Linked DNA regions of Arabidopsis thaliana. Each later gene encodes a partner of the first gene's protein in a complex. Each region holds a gene or a part of one and is shown on either strand. Other genes may lie near its edges.

Region 1 (6,031 bases):
AAAAAAAGAACCTATAAAAGACTAACGAAAGCCGATTATATCGAAGCCATTACGAGCCACATGGTATTGAAGATTAATTATAGAGTTGAATAGTCGATGTCACATGCTTTGACTGTCTCCTTCATTATAGATATCGACATTAATATTTTATTATTAACATGGAATCGTATCTTAACTTTTCCACGTAAAACAATATTTAATCTCTTTATGAAAGATCATGCACACACTAGGAAAACTATATAAGTGATTTCTTATATGGTAAACCAACTTTGAATGTAGGCTAATTAGTTTATTAAGCAATATAGTCTTTTATGTCTATGTTCAATTCACCATTCACCCATATTGTCCTCATTTACTTATAAATCAAGTAAACCATCAAAGAAAGTTGTGTAAACAGCCTATTTTTCTTTAAGAAATAAATCATGGCAAGAAAATGTGAGACTTTTTGGTTTTATTTTGTTAAAATGACAATCTATTATCCTTTTCTTTTTTTCGAACAATCTATAACGTGTATATTACTACAAAGGTATAAGAGAATCCATTTTTTAACTGCCAAGATTAATTTTTTTTTTTCGATTCTTTCCAATTAATTAATAACGGATTCTATCGACAAAATTTAGGATAGCGTTACATATAAAAGTAATATTAACGCATCCTAAATTTGTCGTTTTTAAAAGAAAAAAGTATTAACGACAAAAAATAATCCTTTAGCAATGAAAATTGGTGATAAAAAAACTGAAGAAAAAAGCAATGAAATTTATGTTCCTATACCGACTATTTTTTAGTTTCTTTTATATAAAATATAAAATAGTTTATATATAACCGTTCTTTTATTTTTTTATCGTCTACAACTCACATACGTTACACTTTTATAGTTATACTTCTAAATTAGAAGTCAAGTTATTGTATAGTGATATTATAAACTTCAAGTTATACAAGTCCGGTCATATGAAATTAATATTAGTAATTTGATTGGAATTATAACGTATTGATTTGGACATGTAAATAGCTAAAAAAAAATAGCTCCTATATTAGATTCTTTTAACCAACAAATACAACAATTAAGTTGATAACCTTCCTCTTTGAAGTATTTCAAGATTTTATGGAAAAAACTCAAGATTTTTTTCCGAAGCTTTTATCGGAAACTAAAGAATATCTAGTAGGTCTATTTTCATTCATTATCAACTTGCGAAAAAAGAGAAACAATGTCAATAATTAATGTAAATAGAAAAAAAAAAAAATTGTAGTTGAGAAGAGAGAGAGATGCAAAGGTGTCAACGTCCGTGCTTTGACTTCTATCTTTTCTCTTGTCCTCATCTTAAATCCTCAAAGCTGACCTAACCGGTCACTCCCTTCTTCTCCGGTCATCTTTAATTATTATTCAATTAACCCATAATCAAATTTTAATATAAAAATTAACCATTTGCAAAATAAAATCAATATAATTAATAAAAGCTACTCCTTTACCTTTTTATTGCATAGAAACTACTAAAATATAAATCTACCATTTGCAGAATAATCGGCAAAAAACCATAAAGAAACATTTATAGTCACATAATTTTGCATATATTTTTCTAAATTCGATCACTTTCATCATTCATTATTCATTAATCGTTCCAAATTTTCTTCTGCCTATCCGTTGAACGACAAACTATTCAAAGTAAAAGATTTAGACAAAAAAATAAAAAAAATATTTAGAGAAAGACTTTCCTAAGTCAATGTTATTGATTAAGACTTCATATATGACTAAACACACTCAATTATAATTGACAAAACACGGAAAAGATTTGTCTATAACAAATTTTCCAAAAACACAAATTAATTCACAAAATATTTGGAAAAATAATATTTATTCAAAGCTTCTTATTTCTTCTTCTTCTTTATTTAAAGATTTTTACTGTTTGCTCTGTATCAGAAAAAAGACCAAACACAACTCTTCCACTTTCTATCTCTCTCTAGAATTTTGCTTGCATTAAAACAACACCCACTACTTGCTGTTGCGTGTTGAAGTCAAAAGTCGCCATTTTTCTCTCTCTTGCTTCTTCATCTTCATTGATCATCATCTAAAATGGCAATAATCAGAAAACCCGTTTCGTATACTCTCAGATTTCTCAAGGGTTTTTGTTGAATCTTAATTCTTCTCTCAAAGTTTCTTCCTTTATATTCTTCTTCTTCTTCCTCTGTTCTTGAAATGCGTGTTCATCGTTTTTGTGTGATCGTCATCTTCCTCACAGAGTTACTATGTTTCTTCTATTCCTCGGAATCTCAGACCACCTCCAGGTGCCATCCACATGACCTCGAAGCCTTACGTGACTTCATAGCACATCTCGAACCAAAACCAGATGGTTGGATCAATTCTTCTTCTTCTACAGACTGCTGCAACTGGACCGGAATCACCTGCAATTCAAACAACACCGGAAGAGTTATTAGATTGGAGCTTGGGAACAAAAAGCTGTCGGGGAAGTTGTCTGAATCTCTCGGGAAGCTAGATGAGATTAGGGTTCTTAATCTCTCTCGAAACTTCATCAAAGATTCGATCCCTCTTTCGATTTTCAACTTGAAGAATCTACAAACTCTTGATTTGAGCTCTAATGATCTCTCCGGCGGAATCCCAACAAGTATAAATCTCCCAGCTCTGCAAAGTTTTGATCTTTCTTCAAATAAATTCAATGGGTCGCTTCCGTCTCATATCTGCCATAACTCTACTCAAATTAGGGTTGTGAAACTTGCGGTGAACTACTTCGCCGGAAACTTCACTTCCGGGTTTGGGAAATGTGTCTTGCTTGAGCATCTCTGTCTTGGTATGAACGATCTTACTGGTAACATCCCTGAGGATTTGTTTCATCTCAAAAGATTGAATCTTTTAGGGATTCAAGAGAATCGTCTCTCTGGTTCGTTGAGTCGTGAGATTAGGAATCTCTCAAGTCTTGTTCGTCTTGATGTTTCTTGGAATTTGTTTTCCGGTGAAATCCCTGATGTGTTCGACGAATTGCCTCAGTTAAAGTTTTTCTTAGGTCAGACCAATGGATTCATTGGAGGAATACCTAAATCGTTGGCGAATTCACCGAGTTTGAATCTGCTTAACTTGAGGAACAATTCTTTATCGGGTCGTTTGATGTTGAATTGTACGGCGATGATTGCTTTGAACTCTCTTGATTTAGGTACCAATAGATTCAATGGGAGGTTACCTGAGAATCTACCGGATTGCAAGCGGTTAAAGAACGTTAACCTCGCGAGGAACACCTTCCATGGACAAGTACCAGAGAGTTTCAAGAACTTCGAGAGCTTATCTTACTTCTCGTTATCGAATTCGAGTTTGGCTAATATCTCTTCAGCGCTTGGGATACTTCAGCATTGCAAGAACTTGACGACTTTGGTTCTTACATTGAATTTCCATGGAGAGGCTTTACCCGATGATTCAAGTCTTCATTTCGAGAAGCTTAAGGTGCTTGTAGTGGCGAATTGTAGGCTTACTGGTTCGATGCCGAGGTGGTTAAGCTCGAGTAATGAACTTCAGTTGTTGGATCTTTCTTGGAACCGTTTAACCGGCGCTATCCCGAGCTGGATTGGTGACTTCAAGGCTCTGTTCTACTTGGATTTATCTAACAACTCGTTTACAGGAGAGATCCCTAAGAGCTTAACTAAGTTAGAGAGTCTCACTAGCCGTAATATCTCAGTCAATGAGCCATCTCCTGATTTCCCGTTCTTTATGAAAAGAAACGAGAGCGCGAGAGCGTTGCAATACAATCAGATTTTCGGGTTCCCGCCAACGATTGAGCTTGGTCATAACAATCTCTCTGGACCTATTTGGGAGGAGTTTGGTAATCTGAAGAAGCTTCATGTGTTTGATTTGAAATGGAATGCATTATCTGGATCAATACCTAGCTCGCTTTCTGGTATGACGAGCTTGGAAGCTCTTGATCTCTCTAATAACCGTCTTTCGGGTTCGATCCCGGTTTCTCTGCAACAGCTCTCGTTTCTGTCGAAGTTCAGTGTTGCTTATAACAATCTCTCGGGAGTAATACCTTCCGGTGGTCAGTTTCAGACGTTTCCAAACTCGAGCTTTGAGAGTAACCATCTCTGCGGGGAACACAGATTCCCCTGTTCTGAAGGTACTGAGAGTGCATTGATCAAACGGTCAAGAAGAAGCAGAGGAGGTGACATTGGAATGGCGATTGGGATAGCGTTTGGTTCGGTTTTTCTTTTGACTCTTCTCTCGTTGATTGTGTTGCGTGCTCGTAGACGGTCAGGAGAAGTTGATCCGGAGATAGAAGAATCCGAGAGCATGAATCGTAAAGAACTCGGAGAGATTGGATCTAAGCTTGTGGTTTTGTTTCAGAGCAATGATAAAGAGCTCTCTTATGATGACCTTTTGGACTCAACAAATAGTTTTGATCAAGCTAACATCATTGGCTGTGGCGGGTTTGGTATGGTTTACAAAGCAACGTTACCAGACGGTAAGAAAGTTGCGATCAAGAAGTTATCCGGTGATTGCGGTCAAATCGAAAGAGAATTCGAAGCAGAAGTTGAAACACTCTCAAGAGCACAGCATCCAAATCTTGTTCTTCTCCGAGGATTCTGTTTCTACAAAAACGACCGGCTTTTAATCTACTCGTATATGGAAAACGGAAGCTTAGACTATTGGCTACACGAGCGTAACGACGGTCCAGCGTTGTTGAAGTGGAAAACACGTCTTAGAATCGCTCAAGGTGCTGCAAAAGGGTTACTTTACTTGCATGAAGGGTGTGATCCTCATATCTTACACCGCGATATTAAATCGAGTAATATTCTTCTCGACGAGAATTTCAACTCTCATTTAGCGGATTTCGGACTCGCAAGGCTGATGAGTCCTTACGAGACGCATGTAAGTACTGATTTGGTTGGAACTTTAGGTTACATTCCTCCGGAATACGGGCAAGCTTCGGTTGCTACTTACAAAGGCGATGTGTATAGTTTCGGAGTTGTGCTTCTCGAGCTTTTAACCGATAAAAGACCGGTGGATATGTGTAAACCGAAAGGGTGTAGGGATCTGATCTCGTGGGTCGTCAAGATGAAGCATGAGAGTCGAGCAAGCGAGGTTTTCGATCCGTTAATATACAGTAAAGAGAATGATAAAGAGATGTTTCGGGTTCTCGAGATTGCTTGTTTATGTTTAAGCGAAAACCCGAAACAGAGGCCAACGACTCAACAGTTAGTCTCTTGGCTTGATGATGTCTAGAAGAAAGAGGAACAATATCAGAGACACTATGATACATTTTGTAGGGAGTGATTTTCATACTTTTGAGATACAATGTAAATAGTTTTCAGATAATAATTTGTTTCTTCGTTTTCTTCTTCCATTTTTTTTATCTCAGTTTATGATTCAGATTCAGACATTAAAGATACTAGACAGAACATATACTGTCTCAGAAAAATGAAAAATCTTTTTGTAGTGTTTCAGAAATAATGAGTTCTTGAAAAAACATGTCTCAAGCAATTTAAATGAGCAACATAGATTAATAATTTGTGTTACATCTTTATTCTGTGATTTGCTTTGTGGATACTCTGTTGATTATGTTATACCTTTTAGAGATTTTTGGTTTAATTAAAAAATATATATATTTGGTAGCTAAATTCCTTTTGGTCTTCAACAAAAGAATTCCTTTTGGCCAACTATAGTCAATTTTTTGTTAAGAATCCATTACATTAACTTATTTTTTATGGGTGTGAAAATATTGTTCAACTCATTTGACCAAAAGAATTCAAAGATTATGACTTTGTAAGGTCAAAATATAATATTTGCTTCATTAGAAAGGTTTTCTATATATCGATTTCTCAGTCCCCAAAGACCACAAATTTATAGATTAGTACGCTTCCTATAATGGTTCCTTAAAAATTTTCAAAGATTGACTACAGATTCGATAGTGAAGATGTTCACTTCTGGCTTTTCTTCCACACTACATGAAAACAGCCAAAAATATAACAAATAAAATACAAGGAAAAAGAAAAAGAGCATTAAAAGTTTAAAACTTATGTATGATGATAAATATAA
Region 2 (7,941 bases), 7.6 Mb from region 1:
TTATATTTCCTTGTTATAAAAACAAAGAATATGACGAATAAATTTAACTTTTTGAAATCCTAAAAAAAAAAGCATACACATTTAAATAAATACTTTTATGTATTTACCTATGAAAGTTAAATTGATTTTGTCTATCAGATACATAAATGATCAAATAATAAATGAGAAAAACCTGCCCATATGTGCCGATATATATCCAGTTGAATTAAACCATCATCTTCTTGTTTCTTTGTTTTTAAAATTCTCTTATGAAATCGATCTTTTAGATAAAATACAATCGAATTTATGGAAGCAAGAAAAAAAAATTACGTAGGGGAGGTGTATTATTGGGGGACCCAGCACGATCAAAAAGTCAATATTCATCAGCCAATTTGCTGAATAAATAAATAAATAACCTTGAAAACAATTTTTGGTTAAATTACAAAAATAATGATATCCACAAACATGTGAATTGTTCCAGCAATTGCTGACCTTGCCATGAGGCACCTTGGAAGAGCCATTGCTTCATTACAATCCTTTAAAGCCATAAATATGAGATTAGGATTACCAAAATTTCACATATAACAAATTGTTTTATATCATTACTAGCTTAATATGTGTTTTATTATAGTTTTAGATCGACGTCATCTGAATATTTTCCCCCAAACTCCTAAATTTTATAATCTGTGTCTAAACCTAATTTTATATTTCAAAACATCCCTTTTTCTGGAAGAAACTTGTCTTTTAATTTTTTTTTTTTTTTTCACACTTGTCTTTTAATTTCCTTAAGAGACCAAATCAAGTTAATTTAGTGTACTCACCACCTTTAAAACAGGTCAAGTTAATTTATTTGAACATCAGTAATAAATTTATGAACATCTCTTTTCAACATCGGTATTCTTAAATAGTGTTTTAGAATCGTCATTTTAACTTTATGTTTCACTAAACTTAGAAAATATTTAGTTTTTTTTATCTCAATTAGTAATTATCATTTAAATTTTTATTTTCTCGGTTTCTACTTCGCCACTATTATTTAACATATTATTAAACAAATTAGTATTATACGGGTTGATTTTAATTTTCCAATTACAAATTAATTAAAATTCAACTTTTTGATTGGTTGTATAATCCGAAGGAAAAATGTTTACATACGAATTGTTTTAAAAACACTTTGATTTAAAAGTCCGACCTAAACAATCAACATGAAAATTAAACTTATGAGCAAATTAGGTTGATCTAGAAAATAACTTTTGCATTTGTCTCATAGGGAATTATAAAGTTAGTATCTACACACATATATCAAATATACATGTTATATCTATATTACTCTCTCTCTCTCTCTCTCTCTCTCTCTATATATATATATATATATATATATGTATATTCACAAATCCATGTATGTATTTTAAATTTTGTTTGTTTTTTTTTTCCTTCAAAATGAGTAACTTATATAGAAGTCATTAAGATTAGCTTTGCACAACTCTTTGGGAACAAAAAAGAACCCAAATTTTAAGCATTATTCAATGTTCATATAATTATTATGTATATTATTTTTCCTTATTGATTATCAATTTTATATACACAAAAAGATATCAGTGAAGAACTTATGATTGTGCATATTTTCTGTCCATACATAACCACAATATTAATCAAAAATTTAAATTTATCTTAGATATTTTTCTTATGATAATTCAATACTGTATAATTTTTTAAAATCTATACATTACAGTTTTGTCTTTTAAATCATATTCTAATATGCATAAATATCTAGAAAAATACTAACTCCATAGAATTAAATTTCTTATGTAAGTTTAGTATATTATCCTAAATTTGTGTTAATGTTAAGATTTCTACTAAATTTGATACTCAAAAGTAAAAAGTTTCTCTTAATAGAAAAAAATAAATATAGATTCTCTTACATTACAGGATCAGAGTATAAAACCAGTTTAAGTAAACAATGTTTCAAAAAACAGTATGATATCTGAAATTTTAATTATAAAACCAAAAATCCAAAGTCAAATATACGTTTTCCAAGTGAGAAAGGACCCATAAACAATTAACAACCATTGATGATCACCAAATCATAATCAACGGTCGAAATGAATGAAAAATAAAAGTCTGAAACGGTGGAGAGTTTCGTCGTTTTGAGTGGTTATAAAAAGAGAAGGCGTATATCTCCTCTGCAACAGAAGCTCGCTTTCTCTCTCTCTCTCTCGTGTGTGTGTGTGTGATCGAGTGGTGAAACGACAGAGAGGGGCGTCGTTTTGTTGATTTCTTCTGGGTGAAGATGTCAGGTCTCGAAGATATCAAGAACGAGACCGTTGATCTGGTATTATTTCGATTCTCTTCTCGCTTAAATTCTTCGAGTTTTTAATTTCATTTTTAGTGTTTATTCATCATGCCCACAAAGTGTTCGATGATTTGCTTGAATGAGAAATAGATCTGTTTCGTTGTTGTTCCTTGCATGGTTTCACGTTTGATTCTTTTACCCTTTTTTCTTCAAATCATTTTCCGATGATTCTACTCCTTTTTTCTTTGATCGAAAACTGAATCTTAATTCCTCAAGAACCCGAAAAATCCGCAAAAAAAAAAAAAACCGATTTTTCCCCCCAATTGTATCTGCCTCATTTTCGATGATTCTATCATGGATCCTATACAAAACCCAAATCAAGATTCCAACTTTATTAATTTTGGTCTAAAATTAGGGTAAAATAACAGATGTCTTTTAAAGGTTTTAGGTATTAAGCCAAAAATAAGTAGATTTTGATACTGTTCATCAGAAAAAGTAGATCTACCCAAAAACTACACACATGTGAAACGCTGAATAAAAAGATAAGTCTTTTTAGTGGTGGAGCTAAGCTTAAGCTACGTCTCAACAAAAGTCTCTTTCACATATTTATTAAAAGAGAAAAAAATCGCAAAAAGTTTGATTTTGCTTGTGATATATAACTTTCTTTCTCTAAAAAAAATCATCTTTTTTTTGTAAAGATAACGTTTTTGATGTTAAAGCAGTTCATAATATTCTTCTATCTTCCACCCATGAAAAATACCAGAGTTTTTAATAAATTTAAGTTTTCAACTTTTTTTTAAATTGTTGTTGATGTTCGAATTTTTTTGATGTACCTTTCCGTAGTACGTTTTTTTTTTTTTTGAACTTCTTTGTCCTTTTGTAAAACATCTATCAGTAGAAGCAACTTGTGAATTCCTCTATTGTAATTGATTTTGTTTAGTGAAATTGTTTTATGACCGAAATACCCTTAACCGGACTTTGGCTTTCACGCCGGAAAGTAGCCACCTTTCATGGAGGGAATCCCGCAGGCGCGTGTGTTACACGTTCCATAACACGTGCATTGAAGTAGTAGTAGTAGTGGTGGTGGTGGTGGTGGTCCCTCTATCCTCCACTGCCAGATTCTTTTCACCTTTCATTGTCACAACTTGAGTCAACGCCACTCTTCATCTTCCGAGTCGCCGAGTTGGATCGTTTCTGACATTTGTAAAAAGATTTCAAAACTAGAAAAGTTTTTGTCTTTTTTACCCTTTTGTTCTTGTTTGATGTTTGAGTTACTATTGTTTGGGTTCTGATCAAAACTTTTGCTTTGATTCTCAGGAAAAAATTCCGATTGAGGAAGTTTTCCAGCAGCTAAAATGTACAAGGGAAGGATTGACAACGCAGGAAGGGGAAGACAGGATTGTGATATTTGGCCCCAACAAGCTCGAAGAGAAGAAGGTTTGAGTTTGACTTAGCATTGTTGTTTTATCATCATTGAAAGCTTTGGTTTTGTTTAACTCACGAGGTTGATCTTTCGTAAAAAAATATCAGGAAAGCAAAATTCTGAAGTTTCTGGGGTTCATGTGGAATCCGCTTTCATGGGTTATGGAAGCTGCAGCTCTCATGGCCATTGCTTTGGCTAATGGTGATAATCGACCTCCGGATTGGCAAGATTTTGTGGGTATTATCTGTCTGCTTGTTATCAACTCCACAATCAGTTTCATTGAAGAAAACAACGCCGGAAATGCTGCAGCTGCTCTCATGGCTGGTCTTGCTCCTAAAACCAAGGTAATATGTTGGTGGATGCTGTGACATTACTGTACAAGATATTTCGAGACTTCTAGAGAGCTTAACCTGTTTCTCTGTTTTCAGGTTCTTAGGGATGGAAAATGGAGTGAACAAGAGGCTGCTATCCTTGTCCCAGGTGATATTGTTAGCATTAAACTTGGAGACATTATCCCAGCCGATGCCCGTCTTCTTGAAGGAGATCCTTTAAAGGTTGATCAGTCTGCTCTAACTGGAGAGTCCCTTCCTGTGACCAAGCACCCTGGTCAAGAAGTTTTCTCTGGTTCAACTTGTAAACAAGGAGAAATCGAAGCGGTTGTTATAGCCACTGGAGTTCACACCTTCTTTGGTAAAGCTGCTCACCTTGTGGACAGCACTAACCAAGTTGGGCACTTCCAGAAAGTTCTTACATCCATTGGAAACTTCTGTATCTGTTCTATTGCTATTGGTATAGCGATTGAAATAGTCGTCATGTACCCTATCCAACACCGAAAGTACAGAGATGGAATTGACAATCTCTTGGTCCTCTTGATCGGTGGTATCCCCATTGCTATGCCCACGGTCTTGTCTGTGACTATGGCTATCGGGTCTCACAGGTTGTCTCAGCAAGGTGCTATCACCAAACGTATGACAGCCATTGAAGAAATGGCGGGAATGGATGTCCTTTGCAGTGACAAAACCGGGACACTAACCCTTAATAAATTGAGTGTGGATAAAAACTTGGTTGAGGTTTTCTGCAAGGGTGTGGAGAAAGATCAAGTTCTACTATTTGCAGCTATGGCTTCTAGGGTGGAGAACCAGGACGCTATTGATGCAGCCATGGTTGGAATGCTTGCTGATCCGAAAGAGGTATAACTCTAATCATTTTGAATTACTTCTTTAGTTTAGTGAAAGGTCGAGAAAACAAGTTCTTAATTTCTTATGTTTCACTTGGATTTTCATAGGCCCGAGCTGGAATCAGAGAGGTTCACTTCCTTCCATTCAACCCTGTGGATAAGAGAACTGCTTTGACTTACATCGACTCTGATGGTAACTGGCACAGAGTCAGCAAAGGTGCTCCCGAGCAGGTGATGAATCTTCAACTTTCTCCTAAAGATGTTGCGTTTTTCCTTTATTCTGTGTACTAATTCGATTCTCCCACACAGATCCTTGACCTTGCCAATGCCAGGCCTGACCTTAGGAAGAAGGTACTCTCTTGTATTGACAAGTACGCTGAGCGCGGTCTTAGGTCGTTGGCAGTAGCTCGTCAGGTACTTTTTTACAAGCAATTTTTACATTGGTCTTATTTGGGTTTTTTTTTTGGCCTGTAAATCAACTGTTTAATTGCATATTCCTTTTTAGGTGGTACCCGAGAAAACAAAAGAAAGCCCAGGTGGACCATGGGAATTTGTTGGCTTGTTGCCTCTTTTTGACCCTCCAAGACACGACAGTGCCGAAACCATTCGTAGGGCGTTGAATCTAGGTGTTAATGTGAAGATGATCACTGGTAACTATTCTTATTCATCATTTTTTTCCCATGAAATCCATGGTTATTTAGATGTTTTCCCCTAACTTGCGCTCTAACTACGTTGCCAGGTGATCAACTTGCTATTGGTAAGGAAACCGGTCGCAGGCTTGGAATGGGAACCAATATGTATCCATCTGCGGCTCTTCTCGGTACCGACAAGGACTCGAACATTGCATCCATCCCTGTTGAGGAGTTGATCGAGAAGGCTGATGGGTTTGCCGGCGTCTTTCCAGGTTATGCCTTGCTTTCAGTTTCAAACCTCATCACATGTTCATTATAAAGTTTTGTTATATTGATCCAAGGTTCTTATGGTTACTGATTGCAGAGCACAAATATGAAATTGTGAAAAAGCTGCAGGAGAGGAAGCACATTGTTGGTATGACCGGTGATGGTGTTAATGATGCACCCGCTTTGAAGAAAGCAGATATCGGTATTGCTGTGGCCGATGCTACAGATGCTGCTCGTGGTGCTTCAGATATCGTCCTCACGGAACCTGGGCTGAGTGTCATCATCAGTGCCGTTCTCACTAGCAGAGCTATCTTCCAGAGAATGAAGAACTACACCGTGCGTATTCTTAATCTCACTCTAATATATTATGCCCACCACTTGTGTTCGTTTGCGCTGGAAACTAATAATTTTAGTTTCCTGCTTGTGACAGATTTATGCAGTCTCAATCACAATCCGTATTGTGGTAAGTAGAAACCCGTTTTACAAATCTATCACTTGTTTAGCATGATTTTACTTTTTGTATACTGATCATATTGCGTTGTAACTCTTGCAGTTTGGTTTCATGCTTATTGCTTTGATATGGGAATTTGACTTCTCAGCGTTCATGGTTCTGATTATTGCCATCCTTAATGATGGTGAGCAAATAACATCCTACTTTTCTAGACAGCGTCCTCACTCGTTATCAGCTATATCTTATGGTATTATGTGTTACTACCTTTTAGGTACTATCATGACAATCTCAAAGGACAGAGTCAAGCCATCTCCCACACCTGATAGCTGGAAGCTCAAAGAAATTTTCGCCACTGGAATTGTGCTGGGAGGCTACCAAGCCATTATGAGTGTTATTTTCTTCTGGGCTGCTCACAAGACCGACTTTTTCTCGGTACATCATCAGTTTATTTTCATTTCTTTTCTCTTTTTTTTGGTACAGGTGCTTCAGGGACTATATAGATATATATGGCCAGGCCTTTTGCTCTGAGTCTTAAAAAATTGTCTCACCTTCGATTTGCAGGACAAGTTCGGTGTGAGGTCAATCAGGGACAATAACGATGAACTAATGGGTGCTGTGTATCTACAAGTTAGTATCATCAGTCAAGCTCTAATCTTTGTCACCAGGTCAAGGAGTTGGTCATTTGTCGAACGTCCTGGGGCGCTTCTGATGATTGCATTCGTCATTGCACAACTGGTAAGGACATCAAGCACACATATTTTCTGAACTTCGATTAGGTTAAAGAAACCCACTGAATTCATTCACTCCTTCCAAATGCAGGTTGCAACTTTGATCGCAGTGTATGCCGACTGGACATTTGCAAAGGTGAAGGGTATCGGTTGGGGATGGGCAGGTGTGATTTGGATTTACAGTATCGTAACATACTTCCCACAGGACATTTTGAAGTTTGCCATTCGGTATATCTTGAGTGGAAAGGCTTGGGCCAGCTTGTTTGACAACAGGGTACATACAAGTCTATCTACCACTATAGAGACCTCTTTTACAAGCTGATGGTAACATACTAATCACATCTTCTTCTATGTTAACAGACCGCTTTCACAACCAAGAAAGATTACGGTATTGGAGAAAGAGAAGCTCAATGGGCACAAGCTCAAAGGACATTGCACGGTCTGCAGCCAAAAGAAGATGTTAATATCTTCCCAGAGAAAGGAAGTTACAGAGAGCTGTCTGAGATCGCAGAGCAAGCCAAGAGAAGGGCCGAGATAGCTAGGTAAGTAGTGTGATTAAAACGAATCTCAACGGAAAGATGCCATTTGATAGAGGTTCTGATTGGTGAATGATTTAATATTATGTTGTGACAGGCTTAGGGAGCTTCACACATTGAAGGGACATGTGGAATCAGTCGCAAAGCTAAAGGGATTGGACATTGATACAGCAGGACATCACTACACTGTGTAGTTGGAGTTGCACAACAACACAAACATTTACCGAAAACCAACCCCATCATGACTCATCTTTTGTTTTGTCTTCACAAATCTCTCTTTAAAAGTCATTACAGTAGAGGGAAGAGAACTCTTGTGTATTGCCATAACTCTTCCAAAACTCTTTTTTCTTTTTGTTATTGTTAGTCATTGTTCTTAAAACTCCTACTCGATATGAGCTTTGCAAATTTGCCTTTGAAGAAACAAGGCCCTTTGCCTTTGAAGAGACAAGGCACTTTGC

Evidence for each region.
Region 2: PSKR1 (region 1) and HA1 share a complex: the UniProt entries of both Arabidopsis thaliana proteins name them as parts of the functional complex.

The regions. Positions count from the first base shown.
Region 1 is NC_003071.7:583,285-589,315, reverse strand, and holds PSKR1 (phytosulfokin receptor 1), read left to right. Parts: upstream 1-1,914; 5' UTR 1,915-2,191; coding exon 2,192-5,218; 3' UTR 5,219-5,519; downstream 5,520-6,031. UniProt on the Arabidopsis thaliana protein: Phytosulfokine receptor with both a serine/threonine-protein kinase activity and a guanylate cyclase activity.
Region 2 is NC_003071.7:8,219,592-8,227,532, forward strand, and holds the start of HA1 (H[+]-ATPase 1), read left to right. Parts: upstream 1-1,922; 5' UTR 1,923-2,266; coding exon 2,267-2,308; intron 2,309-2,561; exon of another isoform or gene 2,562-3,586; coding exon 3,587-3,706; intron 3,707-3,799; coding exon 3,800-4,036; intron 4,037-4,120; coding exon 4,121-4,882; intron 4,883-4,977; coding exon 4,978-5,100; intron 5,101-5,178; coding exon 5,179-5,283; intron 5,284-5,374; coding exon 5,375-5,519; intron 5,520-5,608; coding exon 5,609-5,773; intron 5,774-5,865; coding exon 5,866-6,104; intron 6,105-6,198; coding exon 6,199-6,231; intron 6,232-6,321; coding exon 6,322-6,403; intron 6,404-6,490; coding exon 6,491-6,651; intron 6,652-6,780; coding exon 6,781-6,954; intron 6,955-7,038; coding exon 7,039-7,221; intron 7,222-7,307; coding exon 7,308-7,489; intron 7,490-7,580; coding exon 7,581-7,677; 3' UTR 7,678-7,941. UniProt on the Arabidopsis thaliana protein: The plasma membrane H(+) ATPase of plants and fungi generates a proton gradient that drives the active transport of nutrients by H(+)-symport. The resulting external acidification and/or internal alkinization may mediate growth responses.